Linked DNA regions of Saccharomyces cerevisiae S288C. The protein of the gene in region 1 interacts with the protein of each later gene in a biochemical or structural test. Each region holds a gene or a part of one and is shown on either strand. Other genes may lie near its edges.

Evidence for each region.
Region 2: of the proteins of UCC1 (region 1) and CIT2, one has a biochemical effect on the other in vitro, tested with the Saccharomyces cerevisiae proteins (2 studies listed by BioGRID).

What each region holds. Positions count from the first base shown.
Region 1 is NC_001144.5:582,688-590,389, reverse strand, and holds UCC1 (Ucc1p), read right to left. Parts: upstream 3,927-7,702; coding exon 2,817-3,926; downstream 1-2,816. Other genes in the region: BUR2 (Bur2p), read right to left, coding at 1-1,036; YLR225C (uncharacterized protein), read left to right, coding at 1,472-2,695; IFH1 (Ifh1p), read left to right, coding at 4,900-7,702. UniProt on the Saccharomyces cerevisiae protein: Substrate recognition component of the SKP1-CUL1-F-box protein E3 ubiquitin-protein ligase complex SCF(UCC1) which mediates the ubiquitination and subsequent proteasomal degradation of target proteins.
Region 2 is NC_001135.5:120,446-126,464, forward strand, and holds CIT2 (citrate (Si)-synthase CIT2), read right to left. Parts: upstream 1,884-6,019; coding exon 501-1,883; downstream 1-500. Other genes in the region: YCR006C (uncharacterized protein), read right to left, coding at 2,085-2,558; DFP3 (DUP240 family protein), read right to left, coding at 5,566-6,019. UniProt on the Saccharomyces cerevisiae protein: Peroxisomal citrate synthase involved in the citrate homeostasis. Catalyzes the condensation of acetyl coenzyme A and oxaloacetate to form citrate. Citrate synthase is the rate-limiting enzyme of the tricarboxylic acid (TCA) cycle.

The DNA.
Region 1 (7,702 bases):
CGTAGTTAAACGGATCAGAGATTTCTGAAACTTCATTTTCCACATCGCCACTTTCGTCAATCACCGAATCAATCATGCTTGAATCAATTTGTAATTTAGCACCTTTATTACTTTTTAAGTTGAAAAAATTCTCTTCCAGTAACTTGTAATCGGTAAAGATATTGGCAAAATTTTCCGGCGTTACTTCGATAGGGAATCTATCCTTGAAGAAGTTTTTCGGATATCTGAAATCTTTGTCTACAAGCTTTTTATACTCTAAACCACAGTATATGAGAGATAGTACAATGAACGTATAACCGTCGCACAATAAAGAAACTGGCTGGGTGACAGCTTGGACCATAAAATTTCTTGATTCTTGAAGAATTTTTGGAAAAGCTTTTTTAAAGTTTTCTGGCAGATTGTGATCCCTGTTGAATCTATAATAGCCACTGAACACTTCTTCAATCAATTCTTTTGGATTACTGATATTTAAGTCAAAGCCAAATAAACATAGTATTTTTTTTTCATTCGTCACTAACTTATCTCTAAATTCCCATTTAAGTTTATCAATATTTGTTCGACTTTTTAAAGACGGTATATTTTGCATCAAAAACTCACAAGTCGCCTTAATATAGGCCTCTATAGGCCTATTATTCTCCATTGTTTTGCAAGCGGTGACCAGAATTCCCTGTGATATATGAATACATTCAGTTATGGCTGTAGGTATTCCATATATGAACCAATACCTGTAAAATAGAATGCATGATGCCGTATAGGTGTGATCAAAAAGATTTAATTTTTTTTTAAGTGTGTAAAAGTACATTAAGCATTTTTCCATATTTTTTTTTATTTCCACTGCTATCGGTCCATTAGTGCCTATCTTTTCAATAATATCTTTGCACTCAAAAACCCACTGGTTTTCTGGTGTTTCTATCAAATCCGGCCATAGGGTCCTTGCGTTAAACCCACTCGATGCTGGTGGTGGTGATGCATTGCTCGTTGGTTTTGGTACAGCTTGAAATTTTTTCACGTCACCACTTGAAGATGTAGCAGACATTATCTTACTGTAATATATTTTAAACGAAAATACTACGGCCTCCTTCAATATGTGTATATAATTACCAATCAAAATAGCTACTTGCTTTCTAACAGAAATAGTGATACTTTTTAATCACTTTTCTTTTTTTACTGAACAGTGAAAAATAGAAGTCACAATGAGACCTAGGTCAAAAAGCCATAATGAATAGGGTTTGCAATAAAAAAGCTTTAAACGATAGGTCTGTTAAAGAGGATAAATAGGTTTATCATGTATCATTTGGTTTTTTGGGATAGGGCTTGGCAAAAACCATAACAGGGGAATGAGATTTTATATATAAATAGACAAGATAGATACTAAAATAGTGACGGATTCTCTCTAAATATTCGAGAAATTTTCAAAATTTTAGGGCAACGAACAGTTTAATTAACATAAAAATCATAGAGCAAAGAAAAAATGGCGGTTGCGATCAAAAAGGAGAAGACGAAATTTGCCCCCGTTAAGGAAGTTTTATCCGAGAAGGATCATGCTAATTATACTAAATTTCAGGATACATCGAAACTAGAATGGTTTTGCAGGACGTCAAATCACAAAAAGTTCAAGTCACATAGTTTATTAAAAGCAGTAAGAAATCCAACGGAAACAAGAATAGAGACACAAACTCTGTATTTTACGGATCTCACCAACGGCAAATGTGGATTAATTCAACTATTATATTCCAGTGTTATGGGCGGTATATACAAAGGTTTTCAGTTAAATTTCAAAATATTTAAAGCCAGCAGTGAGGAAAACTCTGAAGAAGACATTGATATATGGGAAAGCTTTAAAATTGATAATATCAAAGATTTTGATACGTTAAAAGTTGAATCGGACAATGTTACGTTTCACTTCGTACCTTTGGAAAATTCTTCCTCCAGTGGATTTGCTCAATTATTAATTAAGATAGATATTCCGAAGGGAAGTACAAGCTGTTTACTAAAAGATTTGAAGGTTGACATTACCGTAAATTTACAAGAAGGATTCATAATAAACCCGGACGGTTCCAATTATTACCTTGACAAGAGCATCAGCTTGGAAGAGTTAGCAAAAAGAGACTCTTCTAGTACGTCCAGAAAAATGATAAGACATGTTTTTGTTCCTAGAGGTTTTTGCAATGGTACCATCTCATACAAGAAAAACGATAAACCTGTGAAGCTGGACTTGAAGGACACGCCTATGTTGTATCTGGATGCTGTCCAGGGGCTAATACCCAATAAGGCGGCTAGTAAATGGAATTTTCTTTGTTTCAATGGTGAGAAGCGTTCGATGATGTGTATTGAATTCACCACAACAAAAGAATATGGCAGCACTACAGTGACTATATGGGCGGTTAGTGATAAGGACAAAATTTTGGAGGTCGGGTCAAGTGTAAATGATCATGCTGTTAAATTTCCATCTACAAAAGAGGATAAGCAAAATGGTTGGAAATATCCTACATCCATTTCATTTCCGCGTGGTTTTGAAGAATCTAATTTAAGATTAGTCAATAGGTACGATATAATGAGTGAGCTGCCCGCTTTCATTAGGTCTATTGCTGAAAATCTGGCAAACATGAAGCCATTCATTTACCAATTCTGCCAGAAGTCTAAATTCGATGACGATGAAGGAGTTTCCATCATTGAAAGTACATTTATCAATTGAAAAAAATGAAATTTGACTATACATATTTTCATCATTGCAAGAATATTATATCCATTTATAAGTAGGTAGGTGCATAGACGTATATACACATATATTATAGACTAATTGATAAATTTTTTTTTCATCTTCGAAGATAAGGGGTATTCCAGTTGGGCAATGCTATTTCTTGACCAAGATCTTGCTTTTGTTCCGGATGCTTGTAGACGAAAATTCTTATCAATTTGGATGGCTTGTAAGGTAAACCGTGCCCAATTATCGTGTCTCTAGGAAATGAAATTTTCTCTTCAGATTGTAAGCAGGCCAAACTCCATGCAAACTGGTATGAAAAAGAACATTCACTATAGTTGAAGATTGCTTCAATGCTATTTACGGGTTCGATTCTAAAGAGTAACCACGGCTTCGATATCTGATATGGAATAAAGTCATAACCGAGTAGAACTAAATCACCATTGATACAAACATCTGAATCTGTCCTGTCGATAGCTTTCAGTTCCAGGGGAAGATGTGTCGTTCCAGTGCCTTCAAAAATTTGCTCATCGTATAGCCTGGGAAGGTGGCCTAGGTTAACACAGTATATTCCTTCAGATGTTATCAATTCGTTGATATATCCTGCACTTGCCACGATCTGCTTCGGCCCATAGTTGCATATGCCTATTTCCGTAATAATTTTCGGTATGTATCTGGCAACGTGCGCATTTTTTACATAAAACCAAACGTTTACCGGTGTAGGCTCGTCCTTCCTCCTGGACCAAAAGTTAACAGGTAAAGCTGTCAACGACTGCATAAGAGTTCTTTCCTTGGGCCGACTATTAAAGTTACTGGTAGAATCAGAACCATTTGAATCTTGACTTTTGGTATATTTGTCCCATCCCATATTAATTATCTTTCCAGGATATTGCAGCGCATTGTATACAATATACCAAGAATCTGCGATGTATTTAGTCATGCACAGTGGCACATTAAAACCTGGTTCCTTCGTTTCTTGAATGATTTCTCTGGCATGCTGTCGAAGTGGGTCCAAACTCTTGACATATAAACATAATGAATGTTTGACAACGGCCCATATATAGTTGTCCTCAGCTATCCACGCCAAACTCTTCTCCTTATAGCTGTGGTTATGCAAAACGTAGAAGTATTTATTGACAGCACGAAGTTCATTAGGCACGTACTCTAGTAATGATAAATGTATCTCCAGTGGTAAATCCATCAAGCTGCTATCGCTCTGATTCATCTCTTGTTTGCACACTCTGTCTTCTTTGCGCCAATAGGCATAGTACAAACAAAAAAACGAGCCAAGCAAACAGCGGAAACTCTATTAAAGGTTATGCTACCTTCCGATAGTGATAATATTATGAGAAACTCCAATGTAGATCTACTTGTCTGAGATGGCCTTTGATAAAAAAATCAATCGAGTACGCAATAGAGGGGCAGAGACTTTGAAGAGCAAAAAAAAGAAAAAGGAAATTTTCAGTTATTGTTCCGATTTTTCCGTGTGGGGTTCGGGATGCCTAGTTGTTCCGTAATGCGATTGAAAGATACACTTAACTAGGAGGCTGCTAGTACGCGACCCCTACCTACGTATTGCAAAGATGTTTGAAGTATCAACGGGTGTAGAACTTTGCAATCAAGCAAAAGCTAGATAGTTCCATTATGAATTGTGACGATGTTACCCGTACTGCCTACTACATCTCTTTATACGGATTGAAATCTCTAAAGGTTGCCCTGCCCGTCGTTTCTTTTTCGTTGGAATTCTTTTTTTTTTTTTTTTTTTTTTCATCTCATCACTAAATTGATTTAAAGTACAACTAGGGAAAAGAGACTAGATAATAGGTGCTTTACACGTTTTGACGTTTAGCTTTTACGGCTCTTTAATTGACTTGCTGTAAGTATTTGTATAATCATTGGTAATATTTGAATACATTCGAAACACTTGCTACAAGAAATTAAAAGGAGGAACTCTTCAAAAGGCTATATTTAATTACTGCTTATTTATTACATTCCTCCCTTTCCACAATTCTAACATAGGACAAACCTATAATATTTTTTTTAACTTCGGTGAGCATCATAAGCAATAACCATTTCAAACATAGTAATATTCATTCTACGAAATTCATTTTCAAGCTTGTTGAAATTGAAGGAAATTCAACAAGGAAGCAAATAAACAAATAAGGAAAAAACAACCGGCAAACTGGAAACAGAACGAAATGGCAGGCAAAAAAAGTCCTCGAAAAAGTACGATCAATCATAGTACACATTCTGGTAAACTGCCAGCAAATATTAAAAGGCTCATAAAAAAGGGCGAATCCGATACAAAGTCCAGGCAATCACCACCCACACTGAGTACAACGAGGCCAAGAAGATTTAGCCTTATATACTCTTCTGAGTCATCCTTGAGTGACGTATCTGATTCTGATAAAAACAAAAGTACAAACCCACATAAAATTAAAAGAAAAGCAAAGAACATTTCAAATAATTCCCAAGGAAAAAAAAGTAAACTTATACAAAGGCAAATAGACAATGACGACGAGGGCACAGAGTCATCCGATTACCAAGCTGTAACAGATGGCGAAGAGAGTGAAAATGAAGAAGAAGAGAGTGAAGAAGAAGAAGAAGATGATGACGAAGACGACGACGACGATGATGATGACGGAAGTGATAGTGATAGTGATAGCGAAACAAGTTCTGATGACGAGAATATAGATTTTGTCAAACTGACGGCCCAAAGAAAGAAAAGAGCCATGAAAGCTTTATCTGCCATGAATACAAATAGCAATACACTCTATTCCTCTCGTGAGAACAGTAACAAAAATAAATCAGTTAAACTATCCCCTAAGAAAGAAAATGAAGAAGAGCAGAAAGAAGAAAAAGAAAAAGAGAAAGAAGAGCAACAAAAACAACAAGAATCAAACAAAAAAGAAGTAAACGGTTCAGGCACTACTACTACACAACAGGCGCTATCGTTTAAATTCAAAAAAGAGGACGACGGCATTAGTTTTGGTAATGGTAATGAAGGCTATAACGAGGATATAGGTGAAGAAGTCTTGGATTTAAAAAACAAAGAGAACAATGGTAATGAAGAAGATAAACTGGATTCTAAGGTGATGTTAGGTAACAACGATGAGTTACGATTTCCCAATATTTCAGAGTCAGATGAATCTGAATATGATATTGACCAGGATGCGTACTTTGACGTGATTAACAATGAAGATTCTCATGGAGAAATTGGTACAGATCTTGAAACGGGGGAAGACGATCTTCCCATATTGGAAGAAGAAGAACAAAACATTGTTTCTGAGCTACAAAATGACGACGAACTCTCATTCGATGGTAGTATACACGAAGAAGGGTCTGATCCTGTAGAAGATGCTGAAAATAAATTTTTGCAAAATGAATACAATCAAGAAAACGGATATGATGAAGAAGATGACGAAGAAGATGAAATAATGTCTGATTTTGATATGCCGTTTTATGAAGATCCTAAATTTGCAAATCTTTATTATTATGGCGATGGTTCAGAGCCAAAGCTATCCTTGAGTACATCTTTACCGTTAATGCTAAATGATGAAAAACTATCTAAACTAAAAAAGAAAGAGGCCAAAAAACGGGAACAGGAAGAAAGGAAACAAAGACGAAAGCTCTATAAAAAGACGCAAAAACCTAGTACGAGAACAACCTCCAATGTGGACAATGATGAGTATATTTTCAATGTTTTTTTTCAATCAGATGATGAAAATAGTGGCCATAAGAGCAAGAAAGGCAGGCATAAATCGGGCAAAAGTCATATTGAACATAAGAATAAAGGCTCGAATTTGATAAAATCCAATGATGATCTGGAACCATCCACTCATAGTACGGTCCTGAATTCCGGGAAATATGATTCTTCTGACGATGAATATGATAACATTTTGTTGGATGTTGCCCATATGCCTTCAGATGATGAATGCAGTGAATCTGAAACGTCCCACGATGCTGACACGGATGAAGAATTGAGGGCACTAGATTCAGATAGCTTAGACATTGGCACAGAACTGGACGACGATTACGAAGACGACGACGATGATTCCAGCGTGACAAATGTGTTCATAGACATCGATGATTTAGATCCAGACTCTTTTTACTTTCATTACGACAGCGATGGATCTTCCTCTTTGATAAGTTCTAACTCAGACAAAGAAAATTCTGATGGATCCAAAGATTGCAAACATGATCTCTTAGAGACTGTTGTGTACGTTGATGACGAATCCACAGATGAAGATGATAACCTACCGCCCCCAAGTTCAAGGTCAAAAAACATTGGCTCAAAAGCAAAGGAAATCGTAAGTTCAAATGTTGTTGGATTACGTCCACCAAAATTGGGTACTTGGGAGACGGACAACAAACCTTTTAGTATTATTGATGGTCTGTCTACTAAATCATTATACGCCTTAATCCAAGAACATCAACAGCTTCGCGAGCAACATCAAAGGGCTCAAACCCCAGATGTTAAAAGAGAGGGAAGCTCTAATGGCAATAACGGTGACGAATTGACACTCAATGAGCTGCTAAACATGAGTGAATTGGAGGATGATTCACCATCCCACACAGACGATATGGAGAACAATTACAATGATGCAATTAATAGCAAAAGCACAAATGGCCATGCTGCAGATTGGTATGAAGTTCCTAAGGTTCCATTATCTGCATTTAGAAATAAGGGTATTAATGCCTATGAAGAAGATGAGTACATGATACCAGCAAATTCTAACAGAAAAGTTCCCATTGGCTATATTGGTAATGAAAGAACAAGAAAGAAGATTGATAAGATGAAAGAGCTACAACGGAAAAAAACTGAAAAAAAAAGGCAGTTAAAGAAAAAAAAGAAGCTTCTTAAAATAAGAAAGCAAAGACAAAAGGCAATAAAGGAGCAAGAAACTATGAATTTACAATTGGGAATCAATGGCCATGAGATCATCGGTAACAATAACAGCCATAGCGACATAAATACCGGTACCGATTTTACAACCAATG
Region 2 (6,019 bases), on another chromosome or scaffold:
ATAAAAATGAACGTAAAACAAGTAAAAATGTAGGATGTTATAGTATCAACTAGCTGCCGGAATAGTGCAAATTGTATGAATCGAAATAAGTACGCTAGCCAAGGCAGTAAGGCCTAATGCCCTTAGGCAAATTTATTATTTATATTAAGTTCCAAGAAGGGGAAGCGCCTTCTTTCCCCGCAGTACAGTATTTTACCCGGAGGTTCTTAATAAGTTATTACTAAAAGGGTCATAACGGATTTATTAATAATGGGATTATAAAAATAATGCGTGTGTACCTAGTTATCGCGTGATAGCTTCCGCAATTTTCCAACCATTAGTAAATTTTATGTAACTAAAACGAGGAAGGAAATAGTAACGTTCATTTTCTTAATTATAAATATCATTATCATAGTGTATGGTTAAAAGAATATATTATTGTATTAAATAAGTGCTAAATACTAAATGGTCATGAGGAAAGAAAAATATGCAGAGGGGTGTAAAAGTAGGATGTAATCCAACTATAGTTTGCTTTCAATGTTTTTGACCAATTCCTTGTATTTCTCAGTAGAATAGGACTTTGGCCTTTCAATGGAAGCACCGATGGCCCTATCAGTGATCAATTGAGCAAGAATACCAAATGCCCTTGAAACGCCAAATAAAACGGTATAGAAAGAAGATTCTTTTAGTCCATAATATTGTAATAAGACACCAGAGTGAGCATCTACATTTGGCCATGGATTTTTGGTTTTACCATGTTCAGTCAATACGCCAGGTGCTACCTCGTATATTGATGAAACTAACTTGAATAATTCATAATCTGGAAAATGGTCCATGGCAAACTTACGCTGAGCCATATAACGAGGATCAGTTTTCCTTAGCACAGCATGACCATAACCGGGAATGACTCTTCCTGAGTTTAGAGTATCCCATAAATATTTTTCGATCGTATCTTTAGAGTAGTCATCATTTACCTCTTCTTTAAGTGCAAATAACCATTCTAGTACTTCTTGATTAGCACGCCCATGAAGTGGGCCAGCCAACCCGTTCAAACCTGATGCAAGGGACAGATAAGGTGATGATAGTGCTGAGCCCACAAGATGGGATGTATGTGCAGATACATTACCACCTTCGTGATCCGAATGAATGGTTAAATAAAGTCTCATCAAGTCCACGAAATCTTCATCCTTAGAACCAATCAAGTTGACCAGATTTTTAGCATAATCGGCATTTGGGTCCACTTCACCCATTTTGCCATCTTTGAATACATTACGATAAATTTTAGCTGCAATAACTGGCAATTTACCCAGCAAGTCTAGTGAATCTTCAAAAGTATAACTCCAATAATCTTGCTTGGAAATTCCTTGAGCATAAGCCTTAGCAAACTTTGACTCGCTTTCCAAGGCAGTTACAGCAATAGAGAATTGAGCCATTGGGTGTAAGTCCTTTGGTAAATTATCCAAAAGTTGAACGACATGACTAGGTAGTTCCGATCTTGACATTAGATCAGCTGATAAGTTTTCAACTTGCGCTTGAGTTGGAACCTCGCCAGTTAGCAATAACCAAAAGAGAGCTTCTGGTAGTGGTTGTGAGCTTCCTTTTGCCTTGGGCAGGTCCTTTTGAATGTCGGCGATCGTACGACCTCTGAAACGAATACCGTCTTCTGGGTCCAAAACGGAACCTTCCCATACGCTCCCTGGAATACCTCTCATACCACCATATACCTGTTCTAATAGAACATCGCTAATTTTAGTTTTGCCATGCTCTTTAACGAATTGCCTTACATCTTGAGCATGGATGGGGTAGATTTCGCTAAATCTCTCTTTTAGAGTCTTTTCTTGGCTTGAATTTGATTGTAAATATGATGCAACATTTCTGTTTGAATTTAGATAAGGAACTGTCATTTTTCTTGTTACTAGTATTATTAAAACAAAAAGTTTTGAGAACCTGTTATGATATGTGTTGATATTGTTCCCTGAAACTTAATAATGAGGAACGAACACCATATCTAAAGAACCAAGTTTTAATAGTCTTATATACGCTCAACGTCGAGAATAATGGGCCCTTTTGAGAGCATGACTATCTTTAGATTAACGTCACCAATTTCATACGAATGTAACGCTCAAAAGGTAATTGCGCTTACCATTGTTATTGTTTTTCCGCTGTGCCTCCCATTGCTGACGCCCTGATAGACGTCTAGCTACGGAAAAGGTCACACTTTTTTTCTGCAAGAAAAAATAGGTCGTGACCTCTTCGCCCCTAGTCGATGACCACCGGATAAATGCGTCGAATGTGCGCGCTATTAGTTTGCGCTCTTTTGAGATACCGCCAAGCCATTGATTGAATGACCCAAGGACGGATTTGTTCAACACTCCAAAGCGGCTTATGTTGTGGCAACAACTCTGGGGAAAGTCAGCGCAATGTTTTCCCCTAAGGATTCGCGCGAGCCGTGTGTAACAAAGTTCCGCCGGTATAGCATATCTAAACCACAGAAGGACGCTTATACGGCCGTCTTCCACAGTAATTAGAAGGACATTAGTCGGAGTGTAAATAAGACGGTTGCATACGCGTATGAACATGGGCCATTCATTTTACGGAAATGGCAACACATTTTCTTGTTTTTAATGTAAATAGTACGGAGTTCCTTTTTGGTGCGCTGAATGTATGCCGTAGTTTGGTTTCTTGCCAGGCGTGAGAAGAGAGGTCACACATGCTGTTGGGGTTCATGATTTTCAGCCTTCGCTCTGCTAAGTAAAAGGTCCATTGATCCGAAGCGCTTCCTCCAATATCGCAGTGATAAACGGTCATGTAAGCCTACAGTCTTTAAACTGTAGATGATTTAATGGATTATCTCATACATTGAATATCACACTTCAGCAGTTCAAGTTTTCATTAACATTGGTCTTCTCCAGCTTACTCTGTAAAGTCCGCTGCAGTTTTCTAGAAATCATAATCTGTACCTCCATTCAGCCATCTGAGGAACCTCCGAAATAACGAGTAAATGTTCAAACATGCCATGCGCCTTGGTTTATTGTACGAGTTTTAGCATATTGCAAAAAAAAACTGCTCCTGAGTACACTTGTTTTACGTCGGAAAGATAAATGCCGTACCATTTCTGCCAGTAGCGACACCACACATTGTAAAAACAATGTGGGGCGAGCCGGGACTCGAACCCGGGACCTCCCGCACCCTAAGCGAGAATCATACCTCTAGACCACACGCCCTCCTTTGAAAAATCCCGGCAGAACAGCGCCTGAAGTCTGGGATACAGCCCTATTTTCCCTGCCATCGTCATTGACCTTTTTCTTAACGACCAGATTAACAGCCAGTTATTGAAAGTTTGCGAACGTGAAGTAAAACTGCAAAATGGTCGTTTTAAGTCAAAAGTAACCCTGCGTCACACATGAGAAACATTATCGCTAAGTTGTTGTTACTACTTCTTGTAATTAACTTACTGTCGCATTCCAAATGGACTGCGAAACAGACACGAAACAATTACGAAAGTGACGACAGAGTAAATATTGTCATTAAAGAGAATGATGACCTCCGGGTAAACTGTGAGAATAAGTCTAGACCATTCGTTAAACTTCATCTTTAATTGAGAAGCATAGTAAAAAATAATTAACAAGTTAACACAACTATCTTGACCCATGCTACCAAGGACATAAGTAATATCCTCCACCACTTTTACTCAAAGTATATCTCATTCTGAGAAATGGGTGAATGTTGAGATAATTGTTGGGATTCCATTGTTGATAAAGGCTATAATATTAGGTATACAGAATATACTAGAAGTTCTCCTCGAGGGTCTAGGAATCCCCATAATGGAATCTATATTTCTATATACCAATATTACGATTATTCCTCATTCCGTTTTATATGTTTCATTATCCTATTACATTATCAATCCTTACACTTCAGCTTCCTCTAACTTCGATGACAGCTTCTCATAACTTATGTCATCATCTTAACACCGTATATGATAATATATTGATAATATAACTATTAGTTGATAGACGATAGTGGATTTTTATTCCAACACATTCGAGCTAGTATAAAATTGTGAGGAATTATCGGGCATCTTGTTTATTAGGTACGCAAATTGTAATAATTGCCAAGTTGTGCTTTTTAGTTGAGAAGTATTCCGTCCTCATGAAATGGCTAATATAAGTATGGATTTCATAAATATTATCCAAAGTAATTATACACACTTGTTTTTTGCTATGTCTTGGGTTTAAGAGAAAATGCTACATAGACCGTAAGAACGTCTTCAAGAATGCAAGGATGCTGCAAGCGAAGTTGTTCCCGTTATGAAGCAGAAAGGGCACATCAACATGGTTCAAAGATTTAAATTTCGGCACTTGTTCTTGTTCACTATATGTTTTAAGATTCTTATCGTGCAAGTATTCAATTATATCCTCTAAGTGACCGAACAATCAACACATCAAGATTTTTGTAGTTTTGAAGTTCCACAACCTACAGGTTAGTGCTATTTGGTCTAATTTATACATGGGAACTATGTGAAACAGTAATGTTAGCACAATGGACCTCTCAAAGCCTAAGAAAATTTTGCTGGGGACAAAAAGTGGTTCTTGATGGTAAAGAAGTAGTTTAGCTTCATAATAATTTCTTTGTAAAATTTTTCTCGTAGCACACTAAGCTTTCAGAAATCAAATAAGGCAGAGGAAGTGGTTTTGTCGTATTCAATGACTAATTGTAAGACTCGAGTATAACTTATGCAGTTTCCAAGAAGTAAGCAAACAGTTTCTCTCAACCTTTGGTGACACACTATGCGCATGCAAGTCGTAATGCTTCTCTATTTATGTGTGGGTTTATTAAAATAGTTAGAATTATCTAGGTTTGTGGGAATTTGGCCATGAATATTGAATAGTAACAAGAACAAAGCGTGAAAATGTTGAATATAATGAAAGCTGAAGACATCAAATCATGTTCTCCAAATCTTTCTGTCTCGTATATTTTCTTTGATATTTGTTTTATGCGGAAATTGCAGTGGAAACAATCGCGAAACATTCGAGAAAGAAACTAGGTAGCTACAAAAGTATGGAAAAAAGGGTAATAAGCATTCCTTTTTTTTTAGCCGCAAAGCCTGCTTAACCATACATGAAGCACTTTAACATATAGATGCTGCTCTTCACTGTTACATTATATACAGAAAAAAGTGCTCGCAATAAGAAACAAACCTTCAGAAAAAGAAGCTTATCTTGAGCACAAGTCATTCACAGCAAAATTTCTTTTTTCAGTTGCTACATGTTAATTATGGAGTCCTGAGAGTAAGTAACTAGCCATTAGAATTAATTTCCTTCCCTTAAAAATGATAGGGAATGCACGACAATACGTTAATGTGCACCCAACTTGCACCACAGCATATTCTATCCTTTAGTTTGTACAATATTATTAGCTGTGAGAAAGCCCCTTCGTGTGGCACAAATTTATTAATCTCTGTCAAAATACTTCTACTTGTTTATACTGTATAAACGATTAAGTTCCATTATGAATTGTGAATTTAGAATCGGTTTGGTACATCGCTCAGTATAAGTGCTAAATAAAATTATCAAGATTTATATTTCATGGTATATCGGCGTCAGGATATTGCTTTCTCCAATATTCCTGTTGTGCTTGTTTCTCAACTTCTACTGCTTTAACAAAGTATGCTTCGAATATTGGGTCAGAACTGAAACTAAAGCATTTTATTACCTCATTTGAAGCCTCATTTGCTGGTGCATCTATCTGCGTACTTGTGGCGTCCTTTACCGATGAATTTACATTCACACCTGGGGGTTTTTCTTTCACAAGAAATCTGAAGAATTTGTAGCATCTTTCACTACTATAAAAGTAATAGCGAGTACTCCATAAACCATTATCAAGTAAATATTGATTCATATTGTCTGTGATTGCTCTCCATTCTTTTCCCTTTACCGCTGGCCTGTGGGTGATAACTTCCAGCAAAAGCTTAATTCTGAAACCCTCATCCGAGATATACACATTAAACGGAATCAACGTAGACAAAAACAAAATAGAA